Linked DNA regions of Neodiprion lecontei. The protein of the gene in region 2 interacts with the protein of the main gene of each other region in a pairwise test. Links are inferred from orthologs where the notes say so. Each region holds a gene or a part of one and is shown on either strand. Other genes may lie near its edges.

Evidence for each region.
Region 1: the proteins of DNA replication complex GINS protein SLD5 (region 2) and DNA replication complex GINS protein PSF1 interact in a two-hybrid assay, tested with the Drosophila melanogaster proteins (2 studies listed by BioGRID). The link is inferred for Neodiprion lecontei from reciprocal best matches to the Drosophila melanogaster genes Sld5 and Psf1.

Annotation. Positions count from the first base shown.
Region 1 is NC_060262.1:38,199,815-38,208,147, reverse strand, and holds DNA replication complex GINS protein PSF1, read left to right. Parts: upstream 1-3,618; 5' UTR 3,619-3,843; coding exon 3,844-3,915; intron 3,916-4,004; coding exon 4,005-4,069; intron 4,070-4,495; coding exon 4,496-4,796; intron 4,797-5,091; coding exon 5,092-5,235; 3' UTR 5,236-5,383; downstream 5,384-8,333. Other genes in the region: uncharacterized protein LOC107226463, read left to right, coding at 1-601, 682-869, 1,685-1,732; 39S ribosomal protein L4, mitochondrial, read right to left, coding at 2,190-2,335, 2,452-2,860, 2,953-3,261; NF-kappa-B inhibitor cactus, read left to right, coding at 7,131-7,188.
Region 2 is NC_060261.1:11,938,454-11,946,645, reverse strand, and holds DNA replication complex GINS protein SLD5, read right to left. Parts: upstream 3,590-8,192; 5' UTR 3,444-3,589; coding exon 2,790-3,443; 3' UTR 1,866-2,789; downstream 1-1,865. Other genes in the region: rhodopsin, read right to left, coding at 1-171; transient receptor potential channel pyrexia-like, read left to right, coding at 5,314-5,573, 6,705-7,029, 7,129-7,316, 7,396-7,873, 7,948-8,192.

The DNA.
Region 1 (8,333 bases), on a different chromosome or scaffold from region 2:
ACAGGGGGTTTAAACAGCCGGACAGAAAGTACAATATCGTCAGAATCTTCAACGTTTCATGATGACTCATCTTGCAAATTAGTAACAGTGAAAATCCGTTGTTTTCCCAAAGACAAGGAGGACGAAATAGCAAAGGAAAATCACCACAACTACGTTATACCGGCAAAGAAAACTGGCTCAGCTAAAACGCACACCTCTTGGGCTGAGGAGTTTCGACAAAATAGCCTCAATTCAGACAACGGATACAATACCAGCTCCTCGAGTTTGATCAATGAATCTCATCGTCACTTCGATCGGTTGAATAATATTAGCCAAAATCACAGTGCCGGCGCGTCCACAGACAGTACAAAGTATATATCGTTGGAGAAATCGAGGAGCAGAGCCACCAGATCTGAACAAAATTTGAAACAAACAAATCTCGCCCCTGCCAAATCATCCACAGGACAAAAGGCTTCAAGTTCTCGCAGTGCTCCAGTTATGTCTGAAAATTGCAAACGCAGTCAAACTACCGAAGTTCATGCCAATCCACCGCCATCGAGAAGCTCCATTCAATCAAGACCAAAATCATGTGAGGAGCGAATTATTTCACCTCGATCAAAAAGTTAAATTGCATTGGTAGAATTTTGGATAATTCTTATTTCGCTGTATCTTGATCATAATTTAGATTTTTTTTTTATCCAGTTATAAGGCCCTGGAGACTTCAGCCAGAGTCCCATAGATCCTGCACGAATACAAAGTCTGATCCAGTCGCGCTGTATCAAAAGTACAAAGAAGAATGGAAGCAGCTTGCTCTGCCTGGAGAGGAGAATCATGCTGGAGTCAGGTGGGCGGTAAGGGAAAAAATGCTTGGACTGGATCCAAATCCACGGGTAAGTAACTCCTAATTTGTTTGCCCTTACTCCTTTTTTCTAAGTCTTTTTTAGTACAGAATCATGAGTGAATTGAGGTAAAATATCCATGGTGTTCATTTAATATTTCTGCATTACTTGGATTTCAGCAAAATAACATGATGTGCAAAATAAGTGCAAATTTTAGAGATAATTGGTACGATTCTCTGAATATTTTGGATTGTAAGGAACGTAAGATATACCGAAGAAAGGAAAGAAAAATTAAGAAACAATTTTTAAACGATTGTGTCAGGCATAATGCAAATCTGAGTTCTGACTTGGATAGAAGACAGAATTCTTTGAAAAGTGTTTCTGAATCAGTTTTAGCACGCTCAACAAATTTCAAATTGCCATGTAATTTCAATACTACTCATAGCTCGCAATCAATTCTCACTTTACCCGATGCCTTTAAAAGACATCGACTACATGGTATAAAAATTGAAGAAAAATACAGAACTGAATCTTTGTCATGTCGCGTATTCTGCAGTGATAAATCCAATTCTAAATTTAAGGAAGTTTATTCACAAGAGACCAGTGCAAAGCAAACACTTAGAAGGCTCATTGGCAACATCTTAGGAAAAGATATAAACCTATACGCTGAGAATTATAAGTATATGAAGAAATGCTGCTGTGTTTCCCAACCCAGATTTTCACAATCATAATTTCGTCTTAAAAATAAACGAAACATTTTTTCGAACCTTGTACAAGATTTGTAATGCGTGTACACGGAATTTGTGTAATAAAACATTTTGCAATTTCGTAACAATCGTGTAATGAAAATTATCGTTTTTTTTCAGCCGATATTGAAAAAAAGCTGCAGCACGTCGGCAATAAAAAAGAGATGATTAATTACCATGATTCTTTGTTATAATTAAACGCGTTAATCATTATTAATAATTATATGAATTTGGACATAAACACACTCGTTATTGTAAAAATGATGATATCGTGTATTATACTAAATAATTATTCAACTATATTGCAACGATTTTATTAAACTGATGAATATGTGATGCCTGTCGAAAGAACGAAATCCTTAACGGAAAGAATGTCATTATTTTGGAAAAGATATTTTAATCAATTTATAAATATGTAAAACGTAGATGTAAGTTTAGCCTTAAACAAAGTGATGATTAATTCAGAATTGTGATTGTAACCACGCAGATCTATTTAGTAAAAAAAAAAGGCTACAAAATAAAAATGAACAGTGTCATGTAATTTTTCTCAGACAACAACTGCCTCCTTTATTCTCTAAGAAATAATTTTATACACAATTTAAACACTAATTATTTTTAAATAGCCTCACTGTTGATTGAGTCGGAACTTCTTTGTCACCTCCCGATCATTCATTCTGTTCAACTGCAGGAGTATTTTGCTTTCTATCTCTCGAGCAGCATTTTCTGTGAGAACTAACGTGTCGTGCTTCAGCATACTGTAAACGTTCAAGCCTGGAAAAGAAGAAATAACAGAAGACCGAACTTTTGTGCACATAATATGGATATCTGTAAGCGATGTCTCGCGCTTCAAAGGGACATGGATTAAACTATCTAAAGGAAATTTTTACCATAGACTGGCATGAGATTAAAATGCTTGATCTCATCAGTCGCCAGGGTGATGTTCTTCGGCATAATGTCTGGTACGTCCACGAATAATACGGACGGTCCCCAATTTCTTTGGTAAACCAGATCCTCAATGTACCCAGGCTCTGTCGTTGGAATTTCTAAATCATTCACAATGTGCAGATCGTCCTGGCCGAACTTTACTGTCAATGCCGAAGTGAGGCCTAAGACTCTGGTGTAGAAGGGGAGCATGTAAAAATGCGTTGTTGGTGACCGTGGGCCATGGGCAACGCCGCCACCACGCCATAAGGGGGAACGTATACTCCCGTGTCGAGCGCGACCCAAGCCTTTTTGTTGCCAGGGCTTTCGTCCGCCTCCCCTTACCTCAGCTCTCGTCTTCGTGTGAGCGTAACACTAAAATCCGAGTAAAAAAAATTTAATTCATATTCAAAGGGTAGCGTGAATATAAGAAAAGACATTGCTTTGAAAGCAGTAATTCAACTTACGACAAATTTGTACATCCTCTGCCATCTCACGTTTTGGTGTAAAATATCAATGCGAGGATGAGCCCCGAACACTTCTGGATGCAGCATCATCAGACCGAGCTTCTTTTCCTCAATCGTGTCCAAATTTTCTAGCCATACTTGCTTCGGCTTTTCGTAAAATCGCCCCTGCTGTATCGCCTCGCTTATCGAAATAATTGGCTCCGTTTCTATTGCATCGTTGTTTTCAGTCACCAGAGAACTGAACCTCGCGATTCGACCCACCGAACATCCCTCAAGTTTTGTTAAAATGCTTCGTAAGAGGAACGACATTTTTGGTACTTTAACCTAACCTAACCTCATTCACCAAACACGAAACGTAACCTCAAATTATCGAAAAATAGCCTAACATAACGTAACTTTAAACGGTCTAAACAGATGTTTCTGGGTGAGATCGTGCTGTCTGTAACATGCAAAATACAGAAATCGACAAAGTGTTGCCAAATTCACTTTCCACAAACGAGAAATATAAAAACGGAAATGATAATCCGCCGGTCGAAGGATACTGAACGCAAACTTCACCCAACTTTGAGCACTTGCACGCCAAAAACCGATCACAAAAATTCACCCAGGGATATCCGTCTTTATATTCTTCAGTCAACGGTATAGTACAGTATAGGCTGCATGTCTTTTACGTTAATTTTCTGGGACAATTCAACACTAAATGTAATTTCATTGGCCTGATCTAACAGAATAGGCCAACGAAACCACTTAATATCGTACAACTCAGAAAATTGACGCAAAAGCAAACTGACTGTACCGGCTGATGTGACGTACAGGTTGTAAACAAATGACTGCGTACGCGTAGGAAATAGAAAATTGCATTTTATTAATGAACAATTATTCGCTTGTACTATGTTCGGAGAAAAAGCATTGGAGCTCATAAAGGAACTCGAACGTTCCGCTGAGGGCATCCCGCCGTTTAACGTGAGTAACAGGTCTTGAGTTCCGTAAAAATCATGTAAACATTGGTTCAGGTTATGAAAATACGCGCTATACATTTGCTTGTATTCTAGGATGACGGTATCCGGCAGGTTTTAGAAGAAATGCGAATTCTTTGTCAAGCTAATTTCGATGATATGTTGGTATTTGTTTTATTTACTTCGCCGATAATATACGTCATTTCTGTTATTATTAATCATTTTTATTACCGTCATGGTCAGGATGTTCAATCATGAGAAATTTTCACAGCAACTTAATAGTGTTCCTGGAAATAACGTCAGGGTTTATTCAAAACTTAGTCATCGACTACAGAAAGATCGTCCTAATTTGGCATGAGTCGCTAAATCATAAATTAAATTCTACAAATTTTATCCATTATGAAAACCTTATTCCGAAGTGATTACTACTGAAACTTTTGCTTAAAAAATCTGAAATTGGTTTGGAAATCATAATTAGTCTGAAAGTAAACTGAACACTTACTCAGCTGTGCAGTAATTCTTAATAGTTTGGAATGCCTGTACATTTATTAGCAGGAAAAACTACTAACCACTATTATTTGTCGCAGAGAAAATCCAACAACGGATCCACCAAACTATTCTTCCGTGCGAGTTCGTCACATGGCAATAAGCAGGAACAAGAGATGCATTTTGGCATATCTGTACAACAGGCTGCAGAAAATAAGGCAGATGCGGTGGGAATTTGGCAGTATTTTACCACCTGAAATAAAATCCTTGCTTTCCGAACCAGAAGTACAGTGGTTCACATCATACAGCAAAGCTTTAGCCACTTATATGAGATCCATTGGCGATAATTACGGGCTGAATTTAGCCACTGACGTTACACCTCCAAAGTCGCTTTACATTGAGGTAACAGAGTTTTGAATTTTAAATCCTTTGTGTACACAAAAGTAAATTGCGTAAACCTGTGTTGAATTGGAGATGGATAATCGATTAATTGGGGAGATAATTGATGATAACCGCTAAGTCTTTTCTGACATTCTGCAATTACGATGTTCTAGATAATCCTTGGGAGTTTTATTTATTCAAGGTTATCGTAGCATAGAACTTTCAGAGTCACAGTCATGACTTGCCAAATATTGTGCAAGACCATTGTTGGTTGTTTTCTCTTCCTATCGTCAAGGTGACTTTTGCGGAATTGCAGGTACGATGTTTAGTTGATTATGGAAAATTGGATCTGGAGGATGGGGAGGTGATATTCCTAAAGAAAAATAGCCAGTACTTATTGCCACGCGCTGAGTGTGAAGGTCTGGTGAGGCAAGGTGTATTGCAGCACGTGACTTCGTGAATTTCCGAATTGCCTCACATTCGCCAGAAACCTAAATTATACAATATTTCGCAAGAGTTTGATTTTATTTTTTATACTTATTCCAACGTGAATAAATCGCTTGGAGCTGTAATTTATAAAGTTTAAGTAAATGTTCTTTCATTCCGTATGATGATGGTTTATAAAAATCTTCTGTCTCCCGTGATAGCAAATTCATCCTTGTAAGTCTCCATATATATATATCTATAAGTACCAGAGGACTTATAGTAATAATACGATGACAAATATTCTCATGAGCTTTTAAAATTAAGTTTTTATATTTTGTACACTCATTATTTACATTGCATTATCCCGTCGAATTTTTTACCCGATTTTCAGTGCAACTAAGTACAGAATATTCTTAGGAAAACAATACACGAATATAAATTATTCATTACGCGTTTGTAATCTGTGTTGAAAGCGACAGATTTAATCTTGAACATTCGTTCACGAACCGGACAAATTGTAGTTGCCCAAAACGAATATTTACGATTCTCGTAGTTCCTATTTCTCGAACAGGCCTTGAAATAGGTTTCAATAAATCTTCAATTACGCTGCGCCTTATTTATCGCTGTGGCCATTACTCTGCTGTCAGAAGCTGCGCAAAGCGATTGTATATAAGAAGAAACAAAATCGAAATATATACCCGACCTTGAATTTTGAAACGTCTTGCGAGAGCCGTAAAATGCACTTTAGATCGACTCACAGACTGCGTCGAACTGCACGGATAAATCCGTATCCGATCGCATTTCGCACGGGAAAGGAAATTCGCTTGAAAAACTGTCAGGTATTAAAGTAAGTCATGCATATATACATATACAGAGTGAATTGCTAACAACCGAATAGTTTAGTGCGCATGCGCTGAAATTCGAGAGCACGAGCAATTGTTTTGTCAGGGTGACCAACATTTTTCAGGTTATATCGTGAGTTACATACATAAGGGTGATCTATCATCTAAATTTATAAATGTTGGTCGCCCTGACAAAACAACTGCTCTTGCTCTTGAATTTTAGCGCATGCGCATTAAAACGTCTAGTAGTTAGCAGTTCACTCTGTATGCAATACATTTTCCGATTACGATTCAATTATTCAAATTCTGTCAAAATTTTTTACCCTATATTCGTTACTCTTCGCCTAAATATCTCGATTCGCAGCTGTTCGATTTATGCAACCGATTCTCTTTCTCCGTCTAAAATACGTCGTAACTCGAGGAAATATACAGAAATTCGCTGGGCGACTGGATAGTGACAAAGGGAGAAAAGGAGGTAGGCAGGTAAGAAAGAGACTTTGACTGCAGCGCAGGCTCGAAAGTGCATCGACCAGGCTGCATTAAATTTGAAAAGGGCCCCTTCCGGCGGGGGTGCGAAAGACTGGAGGGTCCCCTCACCGGGGGTACGGTCTCTTGGTATTTCCCAGCCAACTGAAGCCACAGCAGGAATTTCCTACCCGGTAAATTCTTCCCACCGTTGTTCGAACGGTTCGTCGGCTTTAGAGTGATGCCGGGGCTACGTGGTCGCCCAATAGGTGCGTACATAGCGGGCACAAGGAAATGGCATATGTGCTGCAGACCAGTAAAGAATGGAGTCGAATAGCTCGGGGAAGGTCCAGTCGCTGTCGCATTCGTTGGCGAGACAGCAGGGAAGCGTTTCTTTCCGCAGCCTTCGTCGCTGACAATTCTCAGATTTCGCTGGTGCAGCGAATCTTTACGAATACGCCCGGTCCTGTAACATATCGTGAATAATTAAATCAATTTTACGGAAAAAAGTGACTCGATCCGATTTAATTTTTCAAACTACACCGTTTACCGATACACGTGTCTTTTCAAAACAACTTCCGCGTATAACCACGTGCAATATGGTTGTTGATAGTTGTGTGAAATGCCAGATTCAATTCTGAAATCTACAGGAGGACTCAAAATTCACAGTGTTTCAGTTGGTGAGAATCTTTCTGTCTATGATTGTACTTTTTTATTACAATGTATTATATGTATGTGTATGAGGGTACGTCAGTTGGTTTACATTTCAATTCTGTGAAATTAATATGCTATGAAACATTTCATTGTTGCAGTGGTAACCGCAAAGATTACAAAAATTTTTATCATTCTTTTATCACATGGCTTTAAGATACGATAAACAAATATATTTGCTGGTTCTACTTCCTTAATTTCTCGTTGTCATAACGGCGACAATGAATAGATTTTTTTTCTGTTAATACGCGCTTATCTGTACTACTGTCCTTTTGTCTCAAAAAATAAAAGCAATTTGTCTATATGGAACAAGAATGAATGTATGCGTGTAAGTTTTGATCCAGAGTCATTATTTTAAGCTGTATGTAGGTATCAGTTAGTGTAGCTCGTTTAAAAAATTTTTTTCAAGGTGCTACTCAAAACCTTTATAATAAATATTGAAAAAAAACTGTCGCAAAATCTGGAGGAGGTTTAGAGTTTAGGTTTAGAGTTCAAAGCAACTGCAAAATGGGATCTTATGATTTGGGGACTCGCCAAGTGTGATAAGATCATCGATATAATACATATTTTACGATTTTCTAAATCTTGAAAGATATTTTTCAACACGCCATTTTATTACCTCTCTGAACTCTGCTGTAGCTTATGACTTGTATAATGACTGTAAAAAACATAGAAATAAACGATGAGAGATAATTTCAAATGGAAAACCAGCAATGGTTATTTACCGCACGGGGACTTTAAACTAATCTGCCAATTGTAAAAAATTTCGCAGACTTTATCGAGAAGACATTAAAGATAAATCAAAACAATTAATATCATAATATAACGCGCGAAGTTATTCGATTTTTTTCTGAGCGAAGTGGTAAACTTTGAGGAAAAAACTGCAGCTCTTTAAACGCTGTTGTTTGATTATTGTATTGCTTCACGAATAATAAAATTCGCGATAAAGCGTAAATATGTGCAGATCGAGGAATACGTTACGCGGAAAAACCCCGGGCTTATCAAATAATCCAAAAATTCCCCGACATCATAGAACATGCAGACCTTTCCAGTTCAATTGACATGCATGCTTAAGCTGTCAATTAGAATTTCGAATGTGAGCTGGGAAAAACGA
Region 2 (8,192 bases):
GAACCGCATCCATTGTCGGGCAACCTGTGGACCCATGGTGGATATGACCTCAAAAGCTGCTCTCCCAGCTGTGAACTCTGATACGTTTCGAACATTATCCAACGACATGGGATTGAAAATATTCTGCGAATCAGAGGATATTGCTGCTTCCATCTGAGGGCAGACACACATCTACGGATCAATTGTCGCACAGCGTTTATTGTTAATTATGTTTTCATTAAGCAGATAATTTTAATTCACCCACACAGAAACACCCACACATACGCAAAAGTCAGTATATAATAATTTTTTTCATTTTCCCGTAAGCACTTACTTTCGATGTTATTGCGTCTGCAGAGTTCGTTTAATGACAATACAACAGGAAATATTTTTCCTCTGGTAGTTGGACGGTGACTGCGGTATAACGTAGAACATTGGTGCATCAAATATTCGCCATTACTGCAGCGGCTGTGTAAATCTGATCTTCTATATATATTGAGAGTAAGAAGACCTTCCTTGATCAATTATTCAAATATATTCATCTATACTTCAACTGGAGACTCGTATATGTATGGCAATTTATTGTACAAGCGAACACAAAGGTAATACTTTAGGTAGTTTCAACTGGCTTCTTGAGACAGCTAGTTGAACAATAAATTAACTGATAATGACAGCTGTCATATTTCAAATAGGTATTGTACATTTTAAATTGAATTAGCTTTACCACATATGAGTGTATGGATTCAAGGGCATGATTACTTTGAATTACTTTCTCAATTTTTTACCAGCAGAGTTTTACCGTCGTAGGACCAAAAAAATTTGAGACGAGAGCATTTATCTAGTAAATAACGTCACTCAATTAAACCGCAAAAATGATGTTTTTGTGAGATATAAGAGAGTTTTGCGATTCAACGTATTATTTGTTCAATATTTTATATGAAATTTAATGCAGTGTTTTTATTAAAACGTACTTAATGAAATAACATTGAATTCAAATACAAGTGCAGAAGAAATTGGTAAAACGGGCTCTCTACGTGTAACGATTAGTGCGAAATACATTACAAATTACATTGGCGTTTCATGATTACAAAAAGATAAAATACAAATTATATATGTGTATGTAGAGCGGAATGTTTAGAGGGATGGCGGGTGTGCTGGACTGAATGGGTGCGAACCATGGTGCGAACGATCGGCAGATGAGTTCGAACGACTGATTCCAAAGATGTGAGAACGGTGATAATGTGTGAGCGAGCGGGTGAAAGAAAAGAGAATGGAAGAAGGAGGCAGTCGGGAAAAGCAGTCTAGTGTGTGTGAGCATCAAGGTGTGTGAAATGTAAATCATTGAGAACCTTTCGAATGTTTATTTGTACTATGTAAATAGATAAATGAACAAATCGAATGTAAGAAAGGGAACTGGGTTTGTTGAGCATTGGGCATAAGGTGGTCGTTATTGCGATGTCGAACAGGAATAAACTATCAATTACAATTGTGAAAATTACCTAATATCTCTATTCGATCTCGTATTACAATTTGTTAGTATAACTTTCGTTAAAGTCTTAATCACCGTATTTTGAATAAAAAATTTCTCGTTGCGGGTATCTACAAAAATATACGGGCGTGTACAAAGTATATGTATGTGTGTACCACATACTCATATACTAAAATATTTTGTATTTTACTTTGTTCTCATTAGAAAATGAAAACGTAATTTGTATTTCATTGTTGCCTCAATCACAAATTGCAATTGCAATCGTTGAGTAATTACGATTTTGTTCATTAGCGACTGCCCCACTTTGTGCCGATTACCTCTATAATTAATAATCGAACACCAGGGACTATTCACTAATTCCCCCCCAAAAAGATTAAAGACATGGTTTGATATTTTGTTCAATTTATTGTTTGTACAAAATTCTCGAGATTTATATGCTTCGTAATTATTCCGTAACAATATAACAGGTATCGCAAGTAGTCCCTCTAAAAATATCATTTTTACAATTGAATTATATAAGGCACAATTGATGATTAGAATATTACAAATTAGAACTTACAAATTAAACTAAAGCTTCGCTAAGAAGTTGAACAGTTAAAAGACAGGTTTTGGATTTTCTGAAGCTGGAATATTTAGGTTTCACTTATAGTTTTGTGAGATGGATATAGGAGCCTAAAGTATTTCAAGCTTTCAACCATTTCTGTTCATTTTTAATCATTGTTTACGGACTGTATCAATGTATTGGCATAATTGTTCAAAACATAAGTACTTAGGACTGTATTTTCATGATACAGCCGAGGTAATGGAAATATTCGAATACAAATGAACAAATACATTGAATTAATAAAATGCATCTATTTAATCTAATTGGAAGAACACAACGTTACTTCAACAACTAAAAAAATACAACGATTTTAATATATCGTATATCTTTATGGTCAACTGTATTGTGAATCTGATACCATATTACTATATAGCAGAAACAACCTAGCAGAAACTATTATTGGAAAATCTATTTTCAAATAACAAACACTGTGATTACTTGAAAATTATAGAAACCGTGATTTTTATTCACCTTAAGGATGATACGAAATTTTACCCTAACAAAATAGTCGATGGTTAAACTTCTGAAGTTTTAACTCATACTGTAGTGACTTTGTTCTACTTTATTCTACGGAGACATTGAATTCACAAAACCTATGTTCAAAACATTAATTGTGCTGTTGAAATTATTATTTGATAATTTTTGTTTTCGGTATTGTTATAACTAGATTATCGATCATTTTCAACTTGAAGTCAAACAAGATGTGTTACGTGACATCTATATCAATTGAACTGCTCCTTCTTTCACTAAGCTTGCGATTGGCTGGTATTGAATAAGGCGCTGTGCACCAGCCGTCAAATCTATTTCATCATTTGTCGTTCCAGGCACGATGATTCCTTGCACAGGTTTGTTGACTCGCAAAAAGACATGGCTGTTCAAGTTGGGTTTAACAGTCAGTTTATCAACTTCGAATGCTTGAAAATTAGCAGGCATGTGTTGAAGCGCAACTGTTCTGAAAAGTGTTTCAATATTGGCTAAATATTCTTTAGCAAACTTGCGTTCGCCTGGAGTTAGGTAAGATTCTTCCGGACTCTTTTTGTCATCTTCTGACAGAATGTGTATGGTGTATTGTTCAATTTTTTCTAACCTCGTTCGCAGGTAACTCTTTATAACGAATCGTATTCTATCGATTTCCATCTTATGAATAGCTAGCCTGATGTCACCCTTTTTCAATTTTTTCATGTTCTCTTCCATGTGAGAAATTTGTTCGAGCATACAATCAACGAGTTCTGATTGATGAGGTAATATCTCTGGTGCAAATTTCTCGTTCAACCAAGCATTTTCAATGTCTTGCAATACTTTGCCGGGCGTGAATTCTTCATTGTCGCTAGAGTCCAAGTGCTCTGAAACATCCGCTACGCTATCGTCCATTGCAAGACAGAGTGACAACGGTTCTCGGGACCGAATGTGAATAATGCGTGGAATAATGTTTACAAAAACATGAACATGTCAAATCTTACTGAGACGAGATGTCACCAATTGACTATGCCATACACGACCGCAAACTATAGGAAGAGTAGATCCTCTTCTGCTTCGGGGCCATCTCCACGATGACTTTGGGAATGCGTTCCAATGCGTTCCGAAATCAATCTTCAGTGCCGTGATCAGCCATCTTTAATCTCTTTTTCACTAATTTGCCTCTACTTTACGAACACTTTCTAGTCCTCCTTACCTCTACCCGCCATATCTTTTGAGCTAATGACTAGTTCTGTCTGTACATCTCTGGGTATATTCCGCCAAGGAACTGTGGCAGTCCAGTAATATCATATTTTGAATTTTCTAACTCGCGGTTGGTGGTATTTACTGGTCATTTACTGCCAAAGCGTTCCACCAATTGACAATTATTGTTTGAAAATGTTATCTTCATAATAAACAATCAATACAGCATTAATAGCGTGCATGTATATTTCTATTCAAACCCTATTTACACCTTCAAATAATGTAACCTGCATAATCGAGAATTGCTCTAAAATTATTTTATGAGCCATCAACAATTTGTATTTCAAACATTTCTTTACATTCGCGCTGATGTATACGAATTTATATTTTAAATACAGTACGCAAAGGGATCAACAATGATCGCTGCCCGTAGTGGGAGATGTGTTTGCTATAAAAAATAAAATAGTTTTTATGAATATGTAAAAGGTTTCTTCCCAGCAAACTATAGTTCATTTTATGAGAATCATACAATTTTCACTACTATCAACACTGCTGTTTATAAACGAATATTTACCATTGTCAGAATAATGATTTTTTCAAATGAGAACGTGATGATTTTTCACAAATCGTGAACTATTTCATTTTTCTGAAAAAATGTTGGATTTCAAATCGATGGTGATATTTGTCATGGAAAACTTGTAGATTTGTACAAAGTAAAAAGTATAGTTGCCTCATCGATAGCTACACTTCTCCGAGAGAGGGATAAGTTTCCGCGAAACCAATCCAAAGTTTCCATTGAAAAATTAAGGTATTTCACAGTGTCGTATAGCAAGTAACGGAGACTGAGCTAATTTATTTATCATGATTCCAGATTCCTATATCTATATGATTCTTTATATATATACATATATTCTATTTCAATGGTGAACATCAGGTTTTTGAAAAATATACCTATAGCCAAAAAAATTATACACAAAATCATTATCGTAAACGTTCACTATATCTCTTTTACAACTCAGGTATCGAGAGAATCAGTCCGAAGGTCTATAGCACATCGCATAAAAACTTAACGATATGCAAGATTAAGGATCCGCTATTAGTCAATTACCTTAAAAGGATTTAAAATCAATTTGATCCACCGATCACTGAGAACCATTTCAGCGATATTTGAGTATATCAGCTTAGAATCACTTAGATGTAATTAAAGCGACAAAGATTCTACGAGCTGTCATGACGTTGTTGTAAACAGCCTGATAGCGATTAGGAGATACTGCATCTAGTCCATTTTAAAGATTATGAATCACTAGACTAGAGGCCTATACTGGTAACCGCCTCAAGTATGTACGGTTATCGTAATCTTTAGTCGATCAGTGTGTCAGGTATAACTGTAAAAAAATATAATTCCAGCGTATTTGAAAATACGTACTGTCAACATCGATTCATTTTAGTACTGACCGAAGGTGAATCCGGTTACAGAATATATGTGTCTTAATATTTAAGTGTAAAACAGTTGTTGCAGTGTGTCAGTATTCAGGTAGTCGATTTTTACGAGTTTCCCCGTGTCTTCGTCTATACATAAGAGATGTCGAAGTATGGCTACAACAGTTTGCCTACCGGGGAACCGGATCCTGACGATGAAATGCGAGTTGCGTTGCCTCCGTTAATGGTCACGTTGGCTGTACCGTCAACTCCAAACTATCCGATGTCTCCCTCGCCAATGGGGTCATCGGAAACGCTTCCAGAACATCAAAATGCCAAACGGAGAATGGATCGCCGTCTTATGCGTCTGAATACGGAACTCCTTCAAGCGGTTGTTGACGGAAATTTGGCGGAGGTTGAACGGTCCGGTATATGTTAATTTTGGTTCCGCTATTTCGAATTTATCTTGAAATTACGCAGCCTTCCTCGGCAAACGAAGAAAAAATAAAAAGTATTGAACCGGGTTTATTTTAATGCCGTTAGCTACTAATCCAAAATTTTCAAAAAGACGTATTGCGTTGTGCGAAAATCCATCCGAATTGATTGTTCTATTGTTTGAATATGTGTCTACAGCTGCAGGTTCTTCATACTTTCTTATGTTTGAATTGTACCGCAATTTCAATTTGATCCAATGTGTAACGCACAGTTTCGTTTCTATCCATAATTCCTATTCGATTCATTTGAAAAAAATTGAAATTAATCTGGAACAAAGTCAATACGCCTCAAACAATTCAATTTCTATTCAGTTGTTTCTGTTCGAATCCTATAACGATTTGAATTCGTGTAAATCTGTCAATGGTGAGTGGGTACCTTTTCGCCTCAGAGTATTTTCCACAGAAACGTATAACCCACGATTTTATTCGATACAGCATTATTCGACACGTACTTATAGTACGCGAGTATTATACTAAACAGAGTTATTTTACTCGGGTGTTATTTAACAGTAATTCTTGTACTGAGCCGTCCTAGTAGATGTGATCGCATGGACGTATTTCAAAACGTTCTAGTTGTACCTTGGAATATAATTTTCTAAACACTTCGAATTACACTCAATATTATAATTAATTGATTTTAAACATTTTAATAATTCCTATCAATCCCTTGTAATCGCTAGCCACTTATCCCTATAGGAAGATTCAGCTAGACATCCAAACAGTAATTTTGGGACCAAAAAAACAGATTCAGCCGGTTTCAAATTTTCTATTCTTTTCTATTATTTAAAATTTTTTCCAATTGCTGGGCTGTTTATTCGGTTCAGTGATCACACTGTAATGGAGGGGATCATCATTAATACTCGAAATACTTTGCACGTAAACTTCCCATGTTGATACACATTTATCGCTGTCAGTAAATTATCTCGATGATTGATCATCTCTTTGGTTTTGTTTGTGACCCAATTCTCATAAATCGGGTAGAATGTATGCAACTCTCTTTCTTTTTTCTATCTTTTGCATTGTGCATTTTCTGATGTAACTTAAAATTCATAATTTTTAGTGGTCTCCAGCATGATGCCAGTGCAAACGCGACATGCAAGCCACATCGGATTTCGAGTTGTCACATAGCGAGCTTTTTAGGACATACCGATATTTTGCGAACTCTGCTCAAGAATGGTGCTCAACTAGAAGGAACGCGTGACGCAATGGGACGAACACCTTTGCATCTCGCCGCTTGGGAAGGCAATCCGGATTGTGTAAAGCTTCTTCTCGATCATGCCCCAGAACTGGTAAACATAGCAACAGAAAAAATCGAAATAAAAGACAAAATTCGGTTAGAGTGGATCGACTCTTGGGATCACGATCATCAGTCGGTGATTGACATGGTGAGTAGTTTTCGATAAACACGTCCAAACAGTACAGTTCGTCAGAGCTTTAGGCATACCGTTTTCAAAACATGGTAGTGTGATAATCTCAATTTTTAGCTACCGGTCTTAGAATTCGGGAGTTCACCTCTTCACGTAGCTTGTAAACGGACAGAGATGATCTGTGTGCAACATCTTCTGGCGGCTGGAGCTGAGTTCAATAAAGTTGACAGTCGAGGGATGAGGCCACTTGATGTAGTAGGCGAAAATTTAATCGACCACCGTGAAGAGGGCGACGTGGAATTCAGGTAGGTATATAACGCATTGATTTTGACTTGTGTATTTGATCACTGGAGCCTAGTCGAGATAATCTCATCAACGATTCAGGTATCCAGCCGTAATCGCATCATTGATAGCTGCTGGCAGCCGGCATTACCTCTCTTCGGAATATCAGGACCAAAGTCACATCGTGACGCCATTACATACAGCTGTTGAGTTGGGTTCCTTGGACGCGATAACAGTCCTTCTGAATGCGAATTTCCCTCGCTCTATATGGAACGCGGTTGGAGACACTCCGATGCATTTGGCTATCATGAAGAAAGCAGTGGAACCGTTGAAGCTGCTGATGAGCATAGTCAACAGTGAAGACTCACCGAATTACCTTGATCCTGTAAATTCCGTTGGACTGACTCCTCTGCAATTGGCAATGCGTGAAAATTGGATTCCAGGGGTGAGCATCATCCTAGAAGCTGGTGCAGACGTTACGACCACCTCGAGCAATGGATACACAGCTTTGCACTTGTCAGCTGCAAGCGGTAACTTGGAGATGATTCAAGAACTGCTAAGCATTCCGGACTCGCAAACGGTAGATTTACTCTTCCACTCGCTTCAAAACATTTTTTGAACATGCGCGATAATACCCTTTGTTCTGTTACATAGATAATCGAGGTGGAAAACCAGCCGGGAGAAACTCCTTTATATTGCGCGATCGCTAGTGGCAGAGTTGATTGTGTTAAAGAGATTCTCGACGCCGGCGCGAGTGTTCAGCACAAATTGCGCGGTGGAGTAACTGTGTTTCATCGTGCAGCCGAGCACGGCTTTGCCGACATTCTTCAACTCCTGCTTGACAGAGATCCTTCGACGACGAAATTGATGATTAATGCCAGAGACAAGTTGGCGATGTC